Linked DNA regions of Arabidopsis thaliana. The protein of the gene in region 2 interacts with the protein of the main gene of each other region in a pairwise test. Each region holds a gene or a part of one and is shown on either strand. Other genes may lie near its edges.

Region 1 (6,820 bases), 3.7 Mb from region 2:
GAAGAGCTACTGATTCCGCAGAAGTCTCAGCAGAGGCAGCTGAGGAAATAGAGAGAAACAACGAAGCGGCGGCGGCGAGGAGCGGTGGTGCGACGAGAATTGCGCGGCGAGTGACGGCGATTTGAGAGGAGGAGACATTGGAATGAGAGTGGAGACAAAGAGTGACGACGTTTGGATTTGGAAGATTCTTCTTCTTCTGATTATTATTGGCTGAGAAGATAATCGGAAGTTGGCCGCGGAATCTCGGAAACGAGAAGGAGGAAGATGATTGAGAAGCCAAGAGCCCACCATTGGTCGTGGGCTTCATTGGTACACGTCAGCTTTTTGCATTGCTCTAGATCTACAAATAGAGACTTTTCATTTTATTTTATTGCCATCTCTTGTGTGGTTCTCCAATTTTCAAAAATAAAAAAAAACTTCTACTACATGATTTTATTTATGTTAGATCCACCAAATTATACGTATAATAATGTTGAAAAATAAATTTATGGATAACAACAACGGAAAAAAACTATGGACTATATACGACTTTGATATTCATATATACAAAACTTTTTTTCTTTATGTCGGTGAAGTCATTAGAAAAGCACAATACTGTATTTTCTAAATTCAATAATTCCATCATAAGTATTATTTTACAAACTTTACTGAAAAAAGCAACAAACTAGGGGAATATTTTGCTTAGGGTGAAAGTAAGAAAAGAAATATCTAAGGAAGATTGAGGTAAAGCATCTCCTTAAATTCCAACTTTCTAGTATCACTATAAAAAGTATGATGCTTGTTAGGCCAATAAGTCAACCAAACGCAACCTTTAACCTCAAACTCCATTACTTTCCCAATAGCCGTTTTATCAACTTTCCACAAAACGCTTTGCCCATAACTATCTCCTGCAAACACAACTCCTCCTTGCTTCGTGAACGGTCTAAACGCGCTCGAGTACCGGTTCTTGAACCAAGCTCGAGGGTTCATCATCGAGACTTTCGATGGTTTAGAGGACGAAACTTCTCTTCCATCGTCAAGATCATGGAGAAACCAAGTGAGATTGGCGCTATAACCATGAACCCATTCCTCGAACTTCCATGGCTTCATGCTTTTTGTTGTGGTCTCGTTGGCTGAGACTTTTAGTCCAAAGAATGTGTTTGGTGGATCTATTGTTGCTTCTATGCCTTTCTCTACTTCGAATTCTGTCAATGGGTTTTCTGAAGATTTTTGTACGGATACCATTAAGATGTTTGATTGATTCGTTGGTGTTAGTTGCAATGATATTCTTGAGGGGAAATGTTTTTCCTCTGTTCCCATGCCACGTTCCGATAATAGTTTCTCGTTCACAAGCCTTATTATGTCGCACCTAGTTATAAACAATATCTATAGTTAAGAGAAATTAATATGAACAAATTACTTATGTATGCTTGATTACACACAATTTTACGATACCTGACGTTGTCAATATTTACTGCGACGTTAAACCACTTTTCACGAACGTAAATCCTGTGGTTCAATTGGATTACACCTTCAAGTTGATGATAGTTTAGCGAGAAGAACAATCTCTCGTCGTTTAGAGAACTATTTACGCTCTCCATTTCCATTGCTACCACAGGACAATACATATGAACTTTCCATAGACCTTGAGTCGAGAAAGCATATGAAAACAAAGGAGAAGGAGACTTGAGATGCTGAAACGCTTTGATCTCGATGATCCAGTTGGTTATTGCAAGGTTCAGCGATCTCATCCATTGTTCTTCAAGGTTAGAGCCTAGTTGCACCATGAGCAACTTAGAGCCCTGCCTTGACCTACAAGTTACCAGCTGATCTTTCACCGTTTTGAGACAAGTTGTTCTCAGGCTCGTTGGCGCCTCGTAGATGCAGATGAGGAACACGAAAGTGAAGAAAGCGAGGTTGAAAACGTCTTTGAGGTTAGAAGTGGAGCCTAGGTTTTGGAGTTGGATTGAACAAGTGGTTCTCTTGACGTTATAGTTGAGAACAACGTCGACAAAACCCATCAATAGAGTAGATATGACGTTTTCATTGAGGAAAGTAGTTGAATTAGTGCTAATGGTTCTGAAAGTTTTTGAAATAAAGAGAGTAATAGGAGTCTTGAAATTGGCTACTATCGAGAAGGTGAAAAAGTTTGGAGATTGAGGGGTACGAGTAAGAGTGAAGTTCAAAGATGGGTGTGATGAATTTGGAGAGCAAATACACATGGACATTAAATTTCCTTTCCATAGAGAAAGAGGAGGAAGAGTTTGAAGCCAAGCAAACGCATCAGGTGTGTCACAAGAAGCCATTAGAGCTAATATTGAATATCTAGTTGTTGTTCTAGATATGTGTGGTATAGAGAGTATATGATTAGAAGACTAGATTTATCATTTATATATAGAGAGAACATTTTAATGAGTGGAAGAAAAGTAAAGGAAGAAAGATTCGCTTATTTTTTTCAAAAGGTAAGCTAAACAAAATCATGAACTATTTTACGTAAACCAGAAAATATAGAGCTACGCACGAACACGAGACGTCTCTTTAGTAAAATATTGAAAATTTGAAATGTGATAATGATTAAGAGTCCTGCAAATTATGAGATAACGTACAAGGAAAAAGGTTTAGATGATAATTAGAGTAGCTAGACCGTTAAGAGGGATGTAATTAAATTGATAAAGTACGTGCTATTCAAGATTCTTCCATATGTGGATTTCAACCCGAATTTCCAAGAAATATTCTTGATTAGGCCGACGAATATTGTTATTCGATGCCTCTATTCTACTCAATAATGTTTCTTCGTCTTTATTTAGTTTACTAATTATATGTTTGATACATAAATAAATACGAATTATGGAGTGTGTTTGTATATACATAAATACGAATACGAATTATGGAGTGTGTTCAAATAATTATACATAAATAAATAAATACGAATTATGAATTATATACAAATATAAATTATATACACTTGAAGCCTGACGATTACAATAGCAGCTGATCATTATCTTCGGGGTGAATTCAAATTATGGATTGTGTTTGATTTCCTCAAGTCTTAATTTTCATCTACTTTTCAAACGACTAATTAATAGTGGCTACATAACTAACGACTCGATGATAAACACTCCAAAAAGCAATCAATCACTTGAGCAAAAGTTCAAAAGAAAACACTCCAAAAAGCAAACGCAAACACCAAACAAAACAAAACTCAAGTAGAGTTTTAGATAAAGCAACAGTAGAATTTTAGAAAAACCAAATTAAAACACCAAGTGTTTATGCCAAATAAATTGGCTAGACGAAGCAAAACAAGAACACATTATTGATAGTGTAGATTTGGAGTTCACTAATTGATAGTGCAACGTTTGAGTTCAACATTGCCTAGGCTGAGTGAGAATATCTTATTGTTTCCATCCACGAATTTGAGAAAGTAACTACATGTTACCTTTACCTTCTTGTTATTCTCGTCAACCTCATTTATCTCGGTCATCTCAACATGAACAAGTTCCGCAAACCTCCATTTGTTTTCATTATCTCATTTTGATTGTCCCAATCATGTCAAACTCATCTTTTATCGCTTGCACCCCCTTCTTCATGTAGTCTCCACCACCGGTTGCATAGGCGTCTTTAAAAATGCTCTCGAGTTCCCTCCAGTTGTCTTTGCCCCAAGTTCCTGGTGTCTCAAGACACCATAATTCATATATAACTCATAATTCATATTTATTTATGTATATAATTTGTATTTGTATATAATTCATAATTTGTTTAGCTTCAAGTGTACATAATTTGTATATAATTTAATTTCACAGTTTATAGATATATTTAGTAAACCTTTATCATTCATGATCAATTGATCATATGATTGTTTCATTTGTTCAACGAGAACACTCATAGGGTGGGAAATGAGATGATAATTATTGAAATGATCATATAAACAATTGTAGGAAGTCGTAATTTATCTGCAAATAAAATTAGAATATTATTAACTACACTAATTTACTAGTTTGTGTTGTGTTATCCTTGTAACATCATATAGATACAAACCACTGAACCAGTAAGATTGTTTGTTTGTTGAAAAAAAAAAAATGGTTTTATGAACCAATAGTGGAATATATTGGGCCTCTTCCAACATTATAGACCCATCTAAAAATTGCTATTAACTCCAACTTAATATATTGGGCCTATTCCAAAACATTATAGGCCCATAAAATTTAGGCCTTTAGAATATCTAACACGGTTTTGCCGCAACTTCAGTTTCCACTAAAATCGGAACAACAAATTCACACTCTCTCCGCCGCGCACAGACTCACCGACACCACCAATAATGTCTTCTTCTCCGGCGATTCTTCCCGTCACCAACCAGCAAGCAGCCACTCAATCTCAACCTCCAATCAATTCTCACGCCTTCCGTACTTTCCTCTCACGCCTCTCGTCCTCTCTCCGCGAAAGCCTCTCTCAACGCCGTCCATGGCTAGAACTCGTAGATCGGAGCTCCTTCGCTAGACCTGACTCTCTCACCGATTCCTTCTCCCGGATCCGTAAGAATCTCGCTTACTTCAAAGTCAATTACTCCGCAATTGTCTCGTTAGTCCTTGCTTTCTCCCTCCTCTCGCATCCATTCTCGCTTCTCGTCCTCCTCTCTCTCTTAGGCTCCTGGATGTTTCTCTACCTCTTCCGATCTTCAGATCAGCCTTTGGTTCTCTTTGGTCGTAGTTTCTCAGATCGTGAGACTTTGCTTGGTCTTGTTTTGACTACGATTGTGGTTGTGTTTATGACGAGTGTTGGATCTTTGTTAACATCGGCGTTAACGATTGGAATCGCGATTGTTTGCTTACATGGTGCGTTTAGGGTTCCTGATGATTTGTTCTTGGATGAACAAGAGCCTGCTAATGCTGGTTTACTCTCGTTCATTGGTAATTCTGCTGCTACTTCTGCTGCTGCTTCTGTTGTTGCAGGACGAGTTTGAGAAGCTCGAATTTGATGATTCTGATCCTAGAGAACAAACGAAACCTGGATTCTCAGGGTTTTTAGTTATGTTTTGAGTATAGATTCGATGAAGATCTGTAAGTGTTAGATCTAAAGATGCATTGTTGTGTTGTATTCTTCAATTTCGTCACAATTTAGAAAATTTGGAGCTGATCCTTCTCAAGTATTGTAAGATCTCATTTACCTTAAATCAATTTGATACTCTTTGCCTTCATCACCATATGTTTGAGTTAGATTTAGACTAAACCAGTGAAGATTATAGTTTGACCAAAGTATTAAGGATTAAACAAACAACATGTAGTTTAACAACATACGTGGTAGATGTAAATCTTGTAACTAGTTATGTCTATGTCTCTCTAGCTACCAACTATTTTATTCTTCCACAAGTTTCCTCTATCTCGAAAGCGAACAGCCAATACTGTGTACGAATTTGCTGATAGTAAGAGGGTTATATCATGGGAAAGTTTCCCACTGGATTTACATGTTTGGCCAATTTGACAAAAACGACACACGTTTAGTTTGGGGATTTTGTCTTAAAAACTCGGCTGCCAAAAACAAACTGAAGATTCGGTCACCTGAATTGTCTTTTTCGGTCAAAGTCTCACTGAGTTGCTTCTTTCTTAGATATAATATAGGTGACCTGTTTTTAATCTTCATAACATGAGATATATTTTCGTGGAATGAGTTGTGTCTTGTGAAATCTTTTTTCTTTGGTTTTAATGTTAAGAATGTCTTGTGAAATCTTTTCCTGGATTCTAATTATTGGTGAGAATGTGAGATAAAAACAACACTTAGGTACTAAGTTACTAACCATTAAACATGAAGATAAATAGACAAATCCTCTTGTGTAAAGAAGATTATCCCACTTGTAACGAGAAGGTTTGACAAATCGACAACAAAAATGTGAACCTAGTTAGGGTTCGTACCCACTTTTGACTAATGGAATTAAGATACAAAGGAAACCAAAGAAATAGAGTAAACCAATATAATTCCCATGCTACTAATAATTAATCAAGAAATTTCATAAGTAGCAGTTCAAGATATCGTCATTTCTCATGTCATTTCAAAGACCATGATTTCTTCTCGGAAGGATAATTAAACGAAAGCTTAAATTCATATAGCTAGTGAAGATATTTTGTGAGGAAAAATATATATCTTATGTACTGAAAATATATATATTACCAGAAGGTCTCATGTGAAAACATCTATACTTCTAATTGTAAAACTGAATGACTAGATTATAATTTTCCAGTTGAAATAATAGAAATTATTTTTAAAGTTAATAGGAAAGTGGTATAATTAGAGAACAACACACAAAATCTAGACAAGTAAAGCATGTTGTTGACTATGAACATAATTGTAGATGCGGGGTCAATGTCACTTTGCTATATACAAAAAGGTACGGCTAATTTCTAAACATGAGATTGTCATTATCAGAGATTTAGCACATAGAGAGGTTAAAGATACCAAAGAAGAAGACACTAACTAATTCCACCAAACATAATTACTAATTTCTTGTTCACCAATCCATGTCCCCAATATTCTTCTCATGTACTTCTTCTTTCTTAACAACATGATGTTAACATTTTTTCCCAACTTTATTACCTTTCGGATGGTTATTGTTAAAGATATTTACGTAACGGATTACATGGTCTCTCCTTTCCAAAAGTATTAACTTAATCTTTTAGGAAAAAAAGTTTTAGTTAAAAAAAGTTCTTCCGTATATTTACGTAAGGGGTACACAGTTTTGACGTTTCAATACATATTGGCAAAAACCAAAACATAAAGGAAACAATTTACGACATATAGGTGTAGAGGTAGCTAGATTCGGTTAAAGAAAATTAAAGGTGTTATTGTTAAGACA
Region 2 (8,944 bases):
AAGTTGGTTTCGATAATTAGATCACTAATTTTTGTTTAAGGCATCTAATAATTGCGTTGATAAAGTAATGTTATCTGTCAGAACATAAATTACAAAAATAAGAGGGCTCATTCGATCACGTTTTATAAATACTTTCTTGTACCCACCAACCTAATTTTAATCGGCTAACTTAGGTTTTCCATTGCCTGATCATTTTTTTTTTATAACCAAAACAAAACAAAGTGTAATCAAGTCTCGTAACTATTTTATTAAAATGTGTTGATTCAAAAAAGTGAGAATCATTTTGGCATCTTATTACAACAAAGTGGGGAATATCTTTAATCAAATATACTTACAACAAGTGGTCTCTCTCTTTATTAGGCTTATTAAAAATGAATAAATAACATTGTTAAAAAACACACACATGTAATTCATAATTTGATGGGACGTTGGAAATTTCGTGCTGAGAAAAGTCAAATATGACGTGAAACGTTGCCGCCACTAGCTAGCCGCCACCTATACCGACACGTATAAATAATAATATACTAATAAGTGCGACTGCGTTTAGCCTACTACCGCAAACGCAGCTAACCAGATCCCTTTTTCTCTCTCTTTTCTTTCCCTCTATAAAATCGCGTCCTGCTATAGTGAGTTTAGAAAGAAACTGATAGTAGAAAAAAAAAGAGAGAAGAAAAATGGTGTTGACAATCTATGCTCCTTTATTCGCTTCTTCAAAGAGAGCTGTTGTGACATTGGTGGAGAAGGGAGTATCATTCGAAACTGTCAATGTCGATCTCATGAAAGGAGAACAGAGACAGCCTGAGTATCTCGCGATTCAGGTTCCGATTTTCCCTCTTTTTTACTAAATGTTTCTTTTTTTCCGGTGACTATTTCCGATCATGATCCCTTTTTCCGATCGATGCAGCCTTTCGGTAAAATCCCAGTCCTCGTCGACGGAGACTACAAAATCTTCGGTACACTTCTTCTCTTTTAAGCTACTACTACACGAGTCATGATCTGATAATGGATCTGATCATTTGCGATCATGATCAATGAATCACATGATCTTTGAGATTTTTTTGATTGTTTGGAAAAGATTGTTTAGGTAAATGAGTGTTGAAGAGATTTCGATTTGTGTTGCAGAGTCGCGTGCGATCATGAGGTATATAGCAGAGAAGTATAGATCACAAGGACCTGATCTTTTGGGGAAGACTATTGAAGAGAGAGGACAAGTAGAGCAATGGTTAGACGTTGAGGCTACAAGTTACCATCCACCACTATTGGCTTTAACGCTCAACATTGTCTTTGCACCACTTATGGGTTTCCCTGCTGATGAGAAAGTTATTAAGGAGAGTGAAGAGAAGCTTGCAGAAGTGCTTGATGTCTATGAAGCTCAGCTTTCTAAGAACGAATACTTGGCTGGTGATTTTGTGAGTCTAGCTGATTTGGCTCACCTTCCTTTCACCGAGTATCTTGTTGGTCCTATTGGGAAGGCTCATTTGATCAAAGATAGGAAGCATGTTAGCGCTTGGTGGGATAAGATTAGTAGCCGTGCTGCGTGGAAGGAGGTTTCCGCTAAGTACTCACTACCTGTTTAAACAAGGAGATGTTGACTTGGGGGGTTTGTGTGAGCTTTGTGTTCTTTGAGGGAGTTCGTTTTCGGGTCGATTGTCTTGTTGTTTCAATAAGAAACGGAACTCTGTCTCATTTGTTGTCTCTGGTTTCTTGTATTCTGTAACTTTTCAAGCTTTTCAATAAGAGTTTAAAATCAGAGTGACTCAACCCATGTATATTCCTCTATTCAGTGTAGGTCTTTGATAAAACTGGTACTAACATCACAACCATCGTGGTTTGTTGAAGGATTGCATTTATATGAAAACTGGTTTATATGAATCCAAAAACATAAGTCAAAGTTTAACACATATCTCTCTGTTCTTCATGTTGTAATAAAAGGGAAAAAGAATCATTCCCTAGTCAGACAAATTCAAGAGCGGCAGATACATAACAACTCTTGAATGTACAAGAAAACTAAAAAGACAAATTCTTTTTGTTGTTAGAAGAATCAACTCTCCAAACATTACCAGACCATCAAAGAGTATATTAAAATGTACGAAGATCTACCAATCTTTATTCAAGGCTGGTGATGAAATGATTCGGAAGGCGGATCATTGCGTGGAACGTTAGGTTCAGGAGACACTACCGGGATATCCAAGCTGTTTCTTCTGTCCCGTTCAGTCTCTGCAGATATTTCTCTTACATCAGAAACTCTTGCCTCTGTTGCCTGAATATCATTCCATTCGTTTTCTCCCACCGGAGGCTGAGCGTTTACTACCTGCTCTTCACTCATATGGACTACATTCTCTCCCGGTATAGAGGCTGTTCTTGAAATGCTCAGACATGCTTTATCCACATTCTTTTCTGTTTCCTTTGTCATTGGAAGAGAAGCTTCGCCGTTAGTAGACTCAGTCTTCTCCTCACACACTTGCTTTGTCTCTAGTTGCTGCCTGTTTATTCAAAAATAAAGAGATTTATGACCCTTCAAAAGTCATGAGTTTCCCTGGGAGATAGATTCAGATAGGCTCACCTTTGAAGCTGAGTTTGTAACATATTCACATATGCTAAAAGCTCTTGCTTCTCTGTCCAAGCAGTTGCTTCTCTCTGAGAAGCCTCTTTTGATTTTGCTTCACCGCTTGCTTCTGCAACCCTCACTTTCTCTTCGGCCCTCACAACAGCTCCTTCAAGTATGACAACACGCTCTCTGGCTTTCCCAAGCTCAGACCGCCACATATGTGCCTCTTGGAGAGCAGCGTCTCTTTCCTTAACCAATTGATCTTTTTCCTTACTCAAAGTAAAGGTCTTCTCTTCCAATTCCTTGAGCTACATAGGAGATAAAGATCAAATAAACAACAAAACATACACAAGGATGCAAAAGTATCTATATATGACATGGCCTCATTACCTTTAATTTTGTGGCTTCTTGCTGTCTCTGTGAGTCTGTAGTCAAGCGCTCAAATTCCACACAAACGATTTTCCTTTGTTCATCCATTGTATGAGCAGCAGATGCTGCAGCTACAGCTGCTTCAGCAGTCTCAGATAGCTTATCTGCTATTTCCTTTATCATTGAGTCACGAGAACGAAGTTCCCTGGCTAAATTATGTAATTCTTCATCTTTGACACGCAGAGTTTCCTGTAAGATGTAAGTGGCTCAATAAGGTTAACCTGGACATTAGAATGAAGATGGACGAATAAGATTTATGCTAATTCTGTTAATTTTCATCCTTGACAAGCAGAGTTTCCTGTAAGGTGTCCCTATATGCTTTCATCGTTCATCTTGACATTTCAGAATCTCAACAGCCAAAGGATGTCAATATGCTATTCACAAAAGTTTCCCAAATTCGAAGAGAAAGAGAGATGCAAAGATACCACACCTTCATTATTGTCAAATCATCTAGTGGTCCATCAATCGGTTTATTTGGCGTTATTTTCAATGCATTCCTCAAAGAGATCTGCATTGCTGCTTGAATTTCTCTGGAACATTCCAATGCTGTTGAATTGGCAGCGGCAACAACGGTTGCAACGGTACCAAGTGTTGCAGAACCACTTCCACTTAGAGATTCGACAGCCTCCTTATGGGCCTTTAGAACTAGCTGTGTCGCACTGGAACGAACAAAGAAAGATAAGGTTTATCAGATTGGCTTTTGAGGGGCATTTAGAAGGTATTACATTTTCAGTAAGAAACGTAAAAAGAGAGAGAAAGATGATTCTTTCAACATGGTCGACGACGAAACCATTAAATCAACACAACTATGAATTATTTAAGATAGATGAAATAAGCGGGGTGGCTTCTCTAGAGAATGGTAAGTAAATAAAAAGGACAGAAAGAGAAGCAAACAAAAAGATGAAGATCCAGATGACTTACTGTAAGGTTGTGACCCAAGCTTTAGCTGCACCAGGAGTCTCTGCACACAAAAAGTAATCTTTCTTCTGTGGGGTACCAATATCTTATATCAAGTTGAAGAAAATTCAACTCTAGATTCCAATCAACTATCTCCTTATAGACAAAAGAAACAATTATAAATATGCCAACATTTTACTAAAACCAAGGATACAAATACAGCAACCATTATATTTTGGAAGCCCCCTGAAACACAAAAGAAACAAAGTCAATGATACAAACAGACACCAAATAATGATGATTATACAGAGCAACAAAAAAAAGAATGTAGCATCCATACTGGAAGTTGACAGGAGAGATGGAGATTGTGCTATTTTCGTCAAACAAAATTGTTCCCTTGATAGTTGGCTCATTTCGCCTCGTCCTGAGTCATGGAAATACATCAGAAATGAATAAAACCATGATGAAGTGGTCTACACACAAATGCAGCTACATAAGCAAATTGATATAACTCACTTATACTCCATTTTCCCTGTTGTTGGATCAAGTATCACCCATCGTTCGTTCCATTTTCTCAGCTATTCATACATAAACACAAACAAAAGATATTATCATTGTGAACCTTTGAATAAGCCAAGACATTTCAGGCCAAAAGACTTGTTTAAGCTATAGAAATCTAATAGTGAGCTATCAGAGAGTCTTCTTAGTTTGAGCTAACTAAGAAATCCCAATCAATAAAGCAAAAACTGGTTTTGATCATTTTCACTTAAAAAAATTGGACTTACAGTTTCAGATCGCTTGAAAAGAGGTCCTTGTAGCAAGTTCCGACCAGAGCCAGATGCCAATTGTCGCTTGATCTTATCCAAGCTGTTCTCAGTAGCATCAACAATTCTCTGCGCATTTTCAGAAATTGACAAAATGGGTCAATTTAAGAGTGTGAATGAGAAAAGCAGCCAAAAGAAAGAGACTAAATTGTAGCACACAGAGATCAAGAGAGAAAAAGACCGGAGAAGCGCCGTTGGAAGCCATGTTAATTGGGATCGACGAGATCGGAAAGCTCTTGATCGATTAGAAGTGAATTGTTGCTGATCGATGGATCGAGAGAAGAAGGGTTTTAAGAGGTTTTCTTTGGTATAGCTATGAGTATAAGCTGAAGAAGACGAGGTTACAGAAGAAGAAGAAGAAGAAGAAGGAATTGGAGAAAAATGCTGTTAGGTTTGGTTTCGCGGAATTGCAGTTGAATCTGTCTTCACTCTTTCAACGCGATCAAATCAACTTAACCGGTCGGTACGATACTGGATCAGCTTACTCGTCAAATGAACCGGTTCTTGAGTTTCTCACTTTTTGTTTGTTCACTTCATTTTTATGGTTTTTGATCTGACGGTGGAGGTGTCATCACATGATTCTTTTGTTTTGTTTTTGGTTATGAGGATGATTAAGTAGATCTGTAGAAGGTAGGCTTTGTTAAGGGAGAAGCTTTACATAAACGATGGGCTAAGGAACATCAATGGGCCGGGCTGTAACAAGCCAATCGTTTAGGAGAGAGCAGAGTTCTTACTTTGCCCAACTAATCTCAAATGTGTGCAAGATTGTGAAATATTGCGTACTAGCTTCGACGCTTGGTAGTGGTGACTTAGACACTTAGTTCACAGGGACTTCAAACATAGATGCGTTAGACACAGCTTTACACTTTCTCTTAATCTTCAAGATTTTCAATGTACTACAACTTCCCTAATGGTCGTAATGAAACATGATATAAGTACATAACATAATATTCAATAATATATGAGATTTGAGTAATCATATGTGATATGATGATACTCTTTCCTTAATAGCTAGGCGCTGATAACTACATAGGAGGAGGAAACACAACAACTTGTTGGGGATACAGAAATGGATTGAAAAGCATCAAAGCAAAAGAGTAGTAGACATGTAAGCCAAGACAATATTCAATTTTGGGGTTAACTGAAGTGGGAAAGCTGCAAAACGTGAAGTGGTCCTCTTGCTTTATTCTACGTATGTAGATTCCTTTTGTATGAATTTTCTCATTTGTTTTTCACTTCTATGGCATTCTCATCAACCCAACCATGCATATATTTCCTAAATGAAACGTCTAAGAAGCTATCAAAATCCATATTTTTTTGGCTCCTTTATATTCAATCTCCAAAATAAGAAGAAACTTCTACTATATAATATACTACAGAATTTGGACACCTTTTGACATTTATAAGTTTGACCATTTATCTAAAATTTGGTATGTTCTTATGATTAGTGTTTGAAAATAAGAAAATATATATCCATGTGATGTGGTCATTCATGTATACCTTCCATAGTGAAATCATGATGTTTGTTGACAGTAACATATTGTTAGTGGTCTATGAGCTAGTGCAACCTGCCATGACTCACTTTCCCTTGCAAAATCTGACATTCTTCCACAAAACATAAAAGTCCATTAAAATTCTACTTTTGGATGAATCTGACCTTAAGGAATTTTCAGTTTCAGTTTCTTCTTTTTTTTTTCATAGAAAACCAAAAGTGCTGTAGAGTCGCAGAGATAGTGACATCCACTTGAATATTCTTCTGTTTTTTCTTACATTCATTAATTAAATTCAATACTCAAATTATATATATATAGTCCTTTTTAGATATAAAACATCATTATTAACATCTAATTAAGATTGACAAAAATGAAGTTCGTTATATCAAATCGATTGCCCATTCCTCCACTTGCTTTTCTTCATTTAAATTCAGAGATACTAGTAAAATAAACCATCAACCTCCATGCAAAACCATATTATATAACAAAGTTGCGAGCTTAACTTTTTTTTTTTTTCTTTTTATCACATTTCTTTACACTCTAAAAGCAAATTCTAAAACTTTTCTTTTCTTTTCTCTTCTTCTATCTATAGCTAAGAAACTAGTGGATCAAGTATTCAAGTTCCATATATACCGTCATCCAATTCTTTACAAAGAGCTAGATACACACAAACTTTAACAGTTATACTTATGAAATGAACTCATGAATTGATTATCATCAATTCTAAACTTTGTATTTATTGTTTCAACTTCAAACCACATGAAGTCATGGAGATTCATCATCAACTCTTAGTCTCTCTCCTCTTCCTCCTCCTTCCCCTATGCTCCTCCCAAGAAAACACCAGAAGCTTGGCCATTGATGTCAATGGTCCAGTCGAAACTTCTCCTATCTCCGAGGTTCGTATGCTCTTCTTTCTCTCTCGCTTATCCTAATTAAAATCTAATAATCTCAAACTCTTCATAATCTCATTGATATAGCTGATAAATCTTTACAATGAAGCTCCAGGCATTTCCTTTGTTTCTGATCTTATAACCTATTGAGTTTATTTATCATCGCATGATTATAATGTATGTAAGTCATGTACATATTATTATTCCATGATGCTTAAAGGTTATAGTTTTTTTTTCCTACTCTCTGTATAAAATGCCTGCGTGTTAATAACTTTAATCAAAAACTCTGAATATATATTGGTATGAAGCTCTTATTTTTATTTTTCTTGAACAGAAACTAAATCCAAAGCTTGTGTACGAAATCAAAGTGCATGGCTTTATGCTTTGGGCAGCGATGGGTGTTTTGATGCCAATTGGTATAATCTCCATCAGATTAATGTCTATCAAAGACCAACCTATAATCACTCTTCGACGACTCTTCTTTCTTCATGTCACTTCTCAGGCATGTTTCATTTTTCTTGGCTCTCTTATTTAAATTATATATATCAAATATATATTACAATTCAACAAACTAAATCATAAGTATGTTGAAAGTATTGTATAAGTTGAAAATGAAATTTAATGGTCGGTGCGAGAAGATAGGTGGATGGAGAGTAAAGCAAAGATGCTTCTCTCTTCATCTAAACAATAAAGATTGCATCCAATTAACAACTTTTTCGTGATTTTTAATTAGTACTCCATTAGTAATTAGTAGGGCCTTTTAGGTTATTCTAGATTGTTAATCACATTGATAATCATGGAAACTTGAAGGCCAAGCTAAAGCATCTATCTTCTTCCTCTTTATTTTTAGCTTTAACGACTTTCTGACTTTCTCTTTCTCTCATTCTGATACTTAACTAAGAAACCTCACCTACTAGCTAGTCAATTTTGTTACAAAACAATATTTGATAATTAAACAGCAGCAAGTACTTTTAACTATTGTTATCTATCAACAAGCGGCTCATAGTTTACTTGGAATATTAAGTGAGCAATTAACAATGTGATTAATTTATGAAGCAGATGGTTGCAGTGATACTTGTGACAATAGGGGCAGTAATGTCAGTAATAAACTTCAACAATTCCTTCAGTAATCATCACCAACAGCTTGGAATTGGACTTTACGTCATTGTATGGTTCCAAGCTCTTCTTGGCTTCCTCCGACCTCCAAGGTACTTCTGTTTCTTTTCTCTTCAATAAAATAAGCTGTTACACCGATAATTCTTTGTGACAAAATTAAGCTAGCTTAAGATTAATAACACTCATTATTTTGTTCTTGAATATTTCTAAGAAAAATCTTGAATGCAAATTAGTTAGACTTAATCAAATGTTATGATGACGAGAACTACGAAATGCGTCTAGTACTTTATATTCAATCTTTAATTGATTTACTCGCATTGCAGAGAAGAAAAAGCTAGAAGGAAGTGGTTTGTAGGACATTGGATATTAGGAACATCAATTGCTATTCTTGGGATAATAAACATATACACAGGTTTACACGCTTACGCCAAAAAGACATCAAAAAGTGCTAATCTTTGGACCATACTCTTCACTGCACAACTCTCTTGTATTGCCTTGGTCTATCTTTTTCAAGATAAATGGTCTTATATCCAAAGCCAAGCTACCTTTAACAGAAATCAATCCGTTGATCATAACAGCAACATCTCAACCGCAGAGACTGGCCATGGATACGAGGTCGAAGAGAGTAAACCGGAGTTAGAGAAATGCTAAAAGCGCCAAGCTAAGAAGCTATTAGTAATTTGGTCTTACTTTGAGAGATTGTTTTCTAGGAGACAAAAAGAGTTTCAAAGGTATTTGAATTGATTT
Region 3 (7,943 bases), on a different chromosome or scaffold from region 2:
CGTATAGGGATGAAGAGATTGTCAACAAACAAGGAAACATTTAGAAAAATACGTTAAATCAAATACGAGATACAATTCAAAGAAACAGATTGACAAATGTGTTTCTATAGATGGATAACGAAACTATGTCCTGTTTTATCCAATATGCAACGTCTTCACTTGTTTTGGATATAAAGAGAACTAATGAACAGTAGACCCCATATACCAAATCCCAAAGATAACCAAAAGTAGCCCAACAAGGTATAGAACCCTTGTCTTCCTTGGGCATATGACACTCATAATGATGAAAACAACTCTCTGCCCATTGCTTAACATGATATGAAGCTTATTTTCGTTCAAATGAAAATACATGAAAAAGGAATAACGTTAAAAGACAGTTATGAAAATAACAATGACAATGTCCTTTAAATCAAATGACAATACAATAAAAATGAAGATACTTAATAAGATCATAATCTCTTCAGTCATCTACCCATCAAACCACCCTGATTACTCCCCCCAAATCATTCCTTTTATATTCCATTCATTTAACAATTAGTTTGCTACCAAATCTCCTCACGAAACTGGTGACAATCGGTACATTTTAATTTGCTCTCTGCCTATTTGCAAAGGATACAAAAAACAGTATGAAAATTCAATAACATTGGTTTTCCCCCAAGATAAAAGATCAGCCAAAAAGATGCTCCCAGAGATTTGGAATCTTACCAGTATATGCGTTCGCTTGGGTCAAGTTTGCACCTCTTGATATTAGCTTCTGTCACAGGGTGTCCTAGAATAAAAAAGGTTCGTGAGTGGAGAATAGAAAGAGGAAGAAATAAGAGGATAGCACAAGTGAAGACAAAGAGCCTTACCTCTAATTGTTGATTCAATCTCTAGTTCACGGTTCTGCTCCGTATAAATATCCTTAAGAACTGGGAGAACTTTGACTAACAGATACTGCAGCTGCTTAAGCTTGACATCTGTATCTTTTTCACTTGGAGGCTGAGATTCACAAAAAAAAAAAAAAAATCATATTGAAGGAGACATTTCATCTCAGTAGATCCACAAGAAATAAGTGATCTCAAGCCCACTTACCTTGATAACCAAAGGCAACCGCAAACAAGCTCTGCAAATGCAAGTCATCATACAGAATGGACAAGCAGCTCTAACTTCCTCATGTGTTCTTTCTGAATACCTATCAAGATTCAAAATAGTTAAAACTCTCCTGGAAACCGCAAATCATAAACTAGTATAACGTAATACTGAACAGTGCAGATACATACGATCTCTTGATGCAGTCAAAGCAATAACACTTCTTGTTACACTTTGAACAGAAGATAAGATCACTCTCACTCGTCAAGATCTTACAATGATGACACGTCGAACCCAAACACTTTCTGCTTCCGTCAGGCTTAATATCCTGGGAGAATTAGGGTTCCAAAAACATATTCTCATCACATCCGAACAAATAAAATTCACCAAATCGAAATAAACAACATTCACACAAATTTTGCAGCTAAATAATTGCATGAGAAAGCAAATTTTAACAACTCCACAGAATCATGAAAGAGATTCATCTATCTATTTGAATGAAGCAATTATAGAAAGGAATTAACCTTCTCGGGATTAGAAATGTCTATTTCAATAGATCGCTTCGAAACCTCTCCTCTTCCTCTTCCTCTTCCGATTCTTCCTTTGCTCACAACATCATTCTCTTTCTTCCTCGTCTTACGCTCGCTTTCAGATCTCCCATCTTCGACTAACTCGCCGGAATCTCTTGGTCTGATTCGCTTCCCTCTCATTTTCTCCATACTCGGAGACAAAGAAGAGACCACCAATTTTTACCAGTATACAAAAGGAAAATGAAGAGACCTCTGGAGTTTCTTCGAACGTCGTTAATTCATCGATTTATCGCCGTCGCAGCTTTGGGACTATCAAAGTAGTTAAAGGAGAGTGACGTGGCCACAGTCCAGAGGGTAGTATGGGCTTTAAAGTCTACTTCGTGAATCGTAAGTAATTATTAATTAGGGAACAAGACGTTTCATTACTTTTTACTATTCTACCGTTTCAACTTCTGTTTTCTTTCCAAATTTAACTATTTTTTAAACAACCGGTTAAAATAGATTTTCTTTAATTAACCAAGTGGTTCTCTCTGGTATCTTTGAGAGAGAGGAAAACTCTGTTTAATATTTTCTCCGATTGAAATCGGATTTCATTTAAGTTTTTTTTCTTTTCTTTTGTTTCCGGTATCTTGCCGGTTTTAATTTCCGAATTGTTCGGAGTTTCTTTCGGTTTTCTTTGCCGGTTTTTTATAAGGCCTTTTGCAGGTTGTAAATCAACACTTTCAATTTTAGAAGATGTTTAATTCTTGGAGGTTTTTAGATGGAAATGTGTTCATTGGATGCTTGATTACTCTTCCATGTGAAGGAAAATTCCTCGCTATGCTAATAAAAGCGTAAGGGCATCGGTTCTTCATGGATGATAGATCAAGGTGTTGTGGTTGATTGGAGAAGAGTATGACGAGTTGGGGTTCACGTCATGTTTTAATGGTCCTCCAAGGAATATTCTAATCCTAATCAGCTGAAGTTTAAATTTCCGGTGACCAAACTAACTCCAATAGACTATTTCCGGTGATCCTTGGCAAAAGGCATTCGGTACAACTAAATGTGGGTAGAAAGTTTCATGGAGGAGCTGAATCATTTGCTGACCGGCGGAAGATTTCTCCGGCGAAGCAGTGACGGGGCATGTGCTGAAACGTTGATCTACGCTGCAATCTCCACATTGCATACATGTGTCATCATATTGTCTATTTAATGTTTGCAATTAGTGGGCTTTTGGCCTCAAGTTGTACCTGTTTATGAAGCCCATTTGGGCTAATTAATAGAAAAATGTTTGCCGTTAAAAAAAAAAAAAAAAAAGTGGTTCGATGGTCGTAAATAACTTTTATGGGTTTTGGTCTTGGGTTAGAGAATTCAAATTCATGGGCCAACCCAATTTTCATTTTAAGTGCTTCTTCTATGATGACATTTCACGAAAATAATACAATGGATTGTCGAGGAAAGAAGTGATGTTTTCTGTAAATTGTTAGGCATTAGTTATTGGAGAAGCGAAATGTGAAATGCACATTGTTTGTTGGCTATTAACTTGCTTTTAAAGGTGACTTGAACATATTTGGTGTCTTATGTTGATTCCGAAGCTATGAGTACTTTTGATCAATCTAGTTTATGAAGTTACTTTTAGCATCGCCTTCTCGATTTTGTTACTGCCATCACATGTCAAGTTGGTTTTGATGTTTTGTAAGCATTGATAAGCTTTAACGAACAAACTTTTTTTTGTTATCATTACTGCGTATTGGAGTTTTGCATTACATCTTTTGCTTCTCTTATGGCTGAGCAGGGCCGGCCCTGGGCTAAAGTTGGTGAAACTCATGCTTTACGCGCCTAAAATTATAGATAATATTAAAGGGCATCAAATTTTAAAAATGTTTCGTAGTCTAGTGATTGTTTCATAGATTAGTGACTCTTTCGTGGACAGTTCGAACCTTACCTTCGTTTTTTTGAGACTTTAATTATAAATAGATTTAAAATGCTTAAGAATTTTAAATGAGCTTAAAGATGTTTTAGGCATCAAAATCTGTTGGGTTAGCCCTCTGGCTGAGTCTGAGCTCGCAGCATGCAATACTAATTTCTTAAGCTGCAATGCAGTGAGAAGACAAGTAAAACAAGATTAACATTAGCCCAAACTAGATTATTCACAACAAATGTTAATGACTATTACCTTGCTATCTTTATATTTAGCCTCTTTTGTTTGAGCTTAATTTTCAAAAATAATTTGCTTTCTGTCGGTTTAGTTTCTAGAAGGATTCGACTCTTAGTATCTTATCGGCTTCGTGAAGAAAAACTGTATTTCACCCATATATTTCTCAATCGTATTCGTATCTCACCCATGTATTCATATATCGTATTATAAAACAGAAAAGATATATAGATAAGGAAAAAAAACTCATATATATATATTTGCATATATAAAGTATTAAATGCAACAGCTATAGCAAAAAGGTTCTATGGTCTAGCGGTTAGGACATTGGACTCTGAATCCAGTAACCCGAGTTCAATTCTCGGTAGAACCTCTTTTTTTCACACTCCGGCCAAATTTTTTCCCCCGGCGATTTATGAACCCTAAATATAACGCCGGCCAACAACCAAAACTCGACGCTACTGCGAAATCTTTTTCTTTATCCTTTTTTTTCTTCTTTTTCGGGCGAAATGGAGAATTCGTTGCTTGATTCTGGTGAAACTATGGAGATTGTCGCTACACAAAAAATCGAGGAAACAGTGAAGAGCATACTCAGTGAATCTGATATGGACCAAATGACGGAGTTCAAACTCCGACTTGACGCTTCGGCTAAACTCGGTATCGACTTATCGGGAACCAATCACAAGAAGCTAGTCAGAGATGTTCTTGAGGTCTTTTTGCTATCGACTCCCGGTGAAGCACTCGTACCGGAGACGGTGGCTCCGGCGAAAAATGAGACAGTTTCTGTTGCTGCCGCTTCCGTTGGTGGTGAAGATGAGCGCTTTATTTGTAAGGTTGCGACTTTGCCTATTTGTTCTATGTTTGATTCACTGTATAGAGTAGAGATTGTGATCATCTCGATTTTGAGTTTTTCAGTGGTCACTGTAGAAATTGTTGGTCTTTAACTGTAGTTATCGGAGAAGCAAAATGCGACGGTTCAAAGATACAGAGGCCAACCTTTTCTATCGATTGGTTCTCAGGAACATGGAAAGGCTTTTAGAGGTAATTTGAAACACAACTTGGTGTCTTGGTCTTGACTATGAAGCTATAAGTAGCCATTTTTGTTTTAGATATGCTCCTGTTGATTTCAATTGTTAGATGTTTCTTCTCTGTCAGGAGCACATTTGTCAACTAACCAATGGTCTGTAATCAAGAAGAATTTTGCAGCGATAGAGGACGGTATTAAGCAGTGCCAATCAAAACTAAAGTAAGAATGTGTACCTTATTTTAAGTCTATAAAGATTCATGTTCCCTGGCATTGCTTTTAGTGTTTTATGGTCATATAATCATCGTGGCATAGGGCATTACTGTCTGGCTAGCAATGTAGGCTGCTTATCTTGCTATTAAACGTTATGCAGATCTGAAGCAGCACGAAATGGAGATACTTCTGAGGCTGTGGATAAGGACAGCTCTCACGGTTTTTCTGTTATCAAGATTTCACGATTTGATGGAAAGAGTTATCTTTACTGGGCTTCACAGATGGAACTCTTTCTGAAGCAATTGAAGCTGACTTATGTACTCTCTGAACCTTGTCCCAGTATTGGTAGCTCTCAAGGCCCTGAAACCAACCCCAGGGAAATAACTCGAGCTGATGCTACGGGGAAAAAATGGTTGAGAGATGATTACCTGTGCTATACTCACTTGATGAACTCCTTGTCAGATCATCTATACCGTCGATACTCTCAGAAATTTAAGCATGCCAAAGAATTGTGGGACGAGTTAAAATGGGTCTACCAGTGTGATGAATCCAAATCGAAGAGGTCACAAGTCAGAAAGTACATTGAATTCAGAATGGTGGAAGAGAGACCGATACTCGAGCAAGTCCAAGTCTTTAACAAGATTGCGGATTCCATAGTGAGTGCTGGTATGTTTCTTGATGAGGCATTTCATGTGAGTACCATCATCTCCAAGTTTCCCCCGTCTTGGAGAGGCTTCTGCACCAGGTTAATGGAAGAGGAGTATTTACCAGTCTGGATGTTGATGGAACGAGTAAAAGCTGAGGAAGAGCTTCTCAGAAATGGAGCAAAAGGGGTTACATATAGACCAGCCACAGGCTCCTCTCAGATGGAAAGGACACCGAGTCTAGGAACAACACATAGAGGATCTCAGAGCGTAGGTTGGAAGAGGAAAGAACCTGAGAGAGACGAGAGAGTCATCATCGTCTGTGACAACTGTGGGAGGAAAGGACATCTCGCAAAGCATTGCTGGGGTAGTAAATCTGATGAGAGAGCTTCCGGAAAATCAAACCGGATCAACTCCTCAGTCGCTGCACCTGTGGAATCAGAGACTCAAGCAACAACAAACAATGATAGGGGGTAGTAGTTGATGATTGCTGAAGCCAAAATGTTTATATCTCTTCACAGATATACTTAAAGAGGTAAGTCTTTTGAATACCGTTGATTCAGGATTCAGAAGCAGTCCTTTTATGACCTTTTTTCAGCTTGTCCATATGTCTGGCCTATTAGATTTATGACACTGAAATGTATAAAAGAAGAACAGAGAGATGACCAATAGATCAGTTTTGGCCTGATTTAATGTAAAAGTATACTTTTATGAATGATAATTTTTTTGTCAAAATTGCTTTTTAAATCCTATTTTGAGGAACCAAAATAAAAACAGAAACCTCAAAACTGATATACAAACAAATAAACTGACATCAATTGAGGTGACAATACTTAACACACAACCAAAAATTAAGAGTTTCTTTGTCCCAAGCGTTATGGAAGATATTCTCAGCCTCTAAAATTAAACTTGAACGTCGAAATTTTAAAAAGGACCAGATGGAGAGTAATATAAAATTAGCGGGTGAAAAATAGAAGAAATTAAAAGTTTCAGGGTGAAAAGGAAAAAAAATGAAACCTGTCAGACCGCCGTGCGACCACCCCGGCAAGGGAGAACCGAGCCGAGTAACCATCCTCTACAGCACCGGATGCATCCAAGGACAATCGTAGCCGTCAATCACGCTCAAGCCGCACGGTCACGGTTCATCAACAAGGGTTTAGGGCCTGTCTCTTGAGAAATTTTCTCAAGAAAACAGATGTACGAGCCTATAGTTCAAGTAAGGTCGTGACCATTGATGCTTTGTATCCATATATAAAGAAAACGTTTCTCCACTAGCTTATCGATGTGGGACGCAAAATTCCTAAGAAAAAGCAATCATAAGCTAATGGGCCTACACGAGGAAAAAAACACTAATGGGCCTACATTGTTAACAAAGCCCATATATGTTCAAGCCCAATAATTAGAGATTATGGTTTCATTAGGACAAAGAATTTTAAGTTCAAACGTCATTTGACATTTTGAAGTGTAACTTTAAAGCAAACAGAAATCTTCATTTTTGTCTTTTACACACAAATTTAACGAGCATCGAACTCGGTAATTGTAACATCATTCAAAGATGCAATATGATTTATCTGATTTTTGTCTCTTGACAATGATTCTCCATCTCCCGAGTAAAATGCGGGTTGCGAGGGTCTCGGTAAAGTGAAAGAATTTGCATTGAGCATTACAACAACAGAAGCCATTGTTGGTCTACTCTCTGCATTCTCCTGAACACACAACAAACCAATGTGAATGCATTTCATGATTTCATCACTGACACCTATTGTTTCAACCAAACTTGGATCCACAATGTTTAACACTTCCCCTTCTCTCCAGCTCTTCCATACCTATACGTATAAAAGACAATATATGACTTGAAATCAAGACAATATATGAGTCCTCAATTACAACCCCAAACTCAAAGTCTAGAGTCAAAAAAAACAAAGCAAGAGTTTTATTCACTTACATAGCTAAGGAGGAATAATGAGCTGTCTTCTTCTGGAGACCAATTGTTTTTCTTACCTTTAATAATCTCAAGGACTAGTACACCGAAGCTAAATACATCGGTTTTTACCGAGAATTCGCCACTCATTGCATACTCTGGAGCCATGTAACCGCTGCCAAACGAGCAAATAATGTTTTGGCTTTCATTTTAGTTTTACAGAATTGATAATAACTTAAAGGGTAGTTTTTAAAATGGTAGCTTACTAGGTTCCTGCAACTTTGCTTGTAAACCTGGTCTGACTTGTTTGGTCAGTATCAAACAACTTTGCCATTCCAAAATCCGCGATTTTCGGATTCATTGCATCGTCCAATAGAACATTGCTGGCTTTCATATCTCTATGAAC

What was found.
Region 1: the proteins of SWAP70 (region 2) and PRA1.B2 interact in a two-hybrid assay, tested with the Arabidopsis thaliana proteins (one large-scale study listed by BioGRID).
Region 3: the proteins of SWAP70 (region 2) and AT4G00980 interact in a two-hybrid assay, tested with the Arabidopsis thaliana proteins (one large-scale study listed by BioGRID).

What each region holds. Positions count from the first base shown.
Region 1 is NC_003071.7:16,862,850-16,869,669, reverse strand, and holds PRA1.B2 (prenylated RAB acceptor 1.B2), read left to right. Parts: upstream 1-4,082; 5' UTR 4,083-4,294; coding exon 4,295-4,936; 3' UTR 4,937-5,224; downstream 5,225-6,820. Other genes in the region: AT2G40400 (DUF399 family protein, putative (DUF399 and DUF3411)), read right to left, coding at 1-307; AT2G40390 (neuronal PAS domain protein), read right to left, coding at 709-1,348, 1,435-2,285. UniProt on the Arabidopsis thaliana protein: May be involved in both secretory and endocytic intracellular trafficking in the endosomal/prevacuolar compartments.
Region 2 is NC_003071.7:13,140,816-13,149,759, forward strand, and holds SWAP70 (Pleckstrin homology (PH) domain-containing protein), read right to left. Parts: upstream 5,246-8,944; 5' UTR 4,904-5,245; coding exon 4,880-4,903; intron 4,768-4,879; coding exon 4,660-4,767; intron 4,453-4,659; coding exon 4,391-4,452; intron 4,299-4,390; coding exon 4,215-4,298; intron 4,121-4,214; coding exon 4,089-4,120; intron 3,981-4,088; coding exon 3,899-3,980; intron 3,637-3,898; coding exon 3,408-3,636; intron 3,167-3,407; coding exon 2,939-3,166; intron 2,857-2,938; coding exon 2,564-2,856; coding exon of another isoform or gene 2,560-2,563; exon of another isoform or gene 2,484-2,559; coding exon 2,111-2,483; 3' UTR 1,850-2,110; downstream 1-1,849. Other genes in the region: GSTF10 (glutathione S-transferase PHI 10), read left to right, coding at 675-818, 905-953, 1,123-1,577; AT2G30890 (Cytochrome b561/ferric reductase transmembrane protein family), read left to right, coding at 6,959-7,087, 7,416-7,583, 8,141-8,289, 8,521-8,848.
Region 3 is NC_003075.7:420,882-428,824, reverse strand, and holds AT4G00980 (zinc knuckle (CCHC-type) family protein), read left to right. Parts: upstream 1-4,236; 5' UTR 4,237-4,244; coding exon 4,245-4,568; intron 4,569-4,685; coding exon 4,686-4,776; intron 4,777-4,890; coding exon 4,891-4,981; intron 4,982-5,132; coding exon 5,133-6,093; 3' UTR 6,094-6,347; downstream 6,348-7,943. Other genes in the region: AT4G00990 (Transcription factor jumonji (jmjC) domain-containing protein), read right to left, coding at 706-769, 852-981, 1,075-1,174, 1,263-1,399, 1,596-1,790; CRK41 (cysteine-rich RLK (RECEPTOR-like protein kinase) 41), read right to left, coding at 7,131-7,442, 7,562-7,712, 7,804-7,943.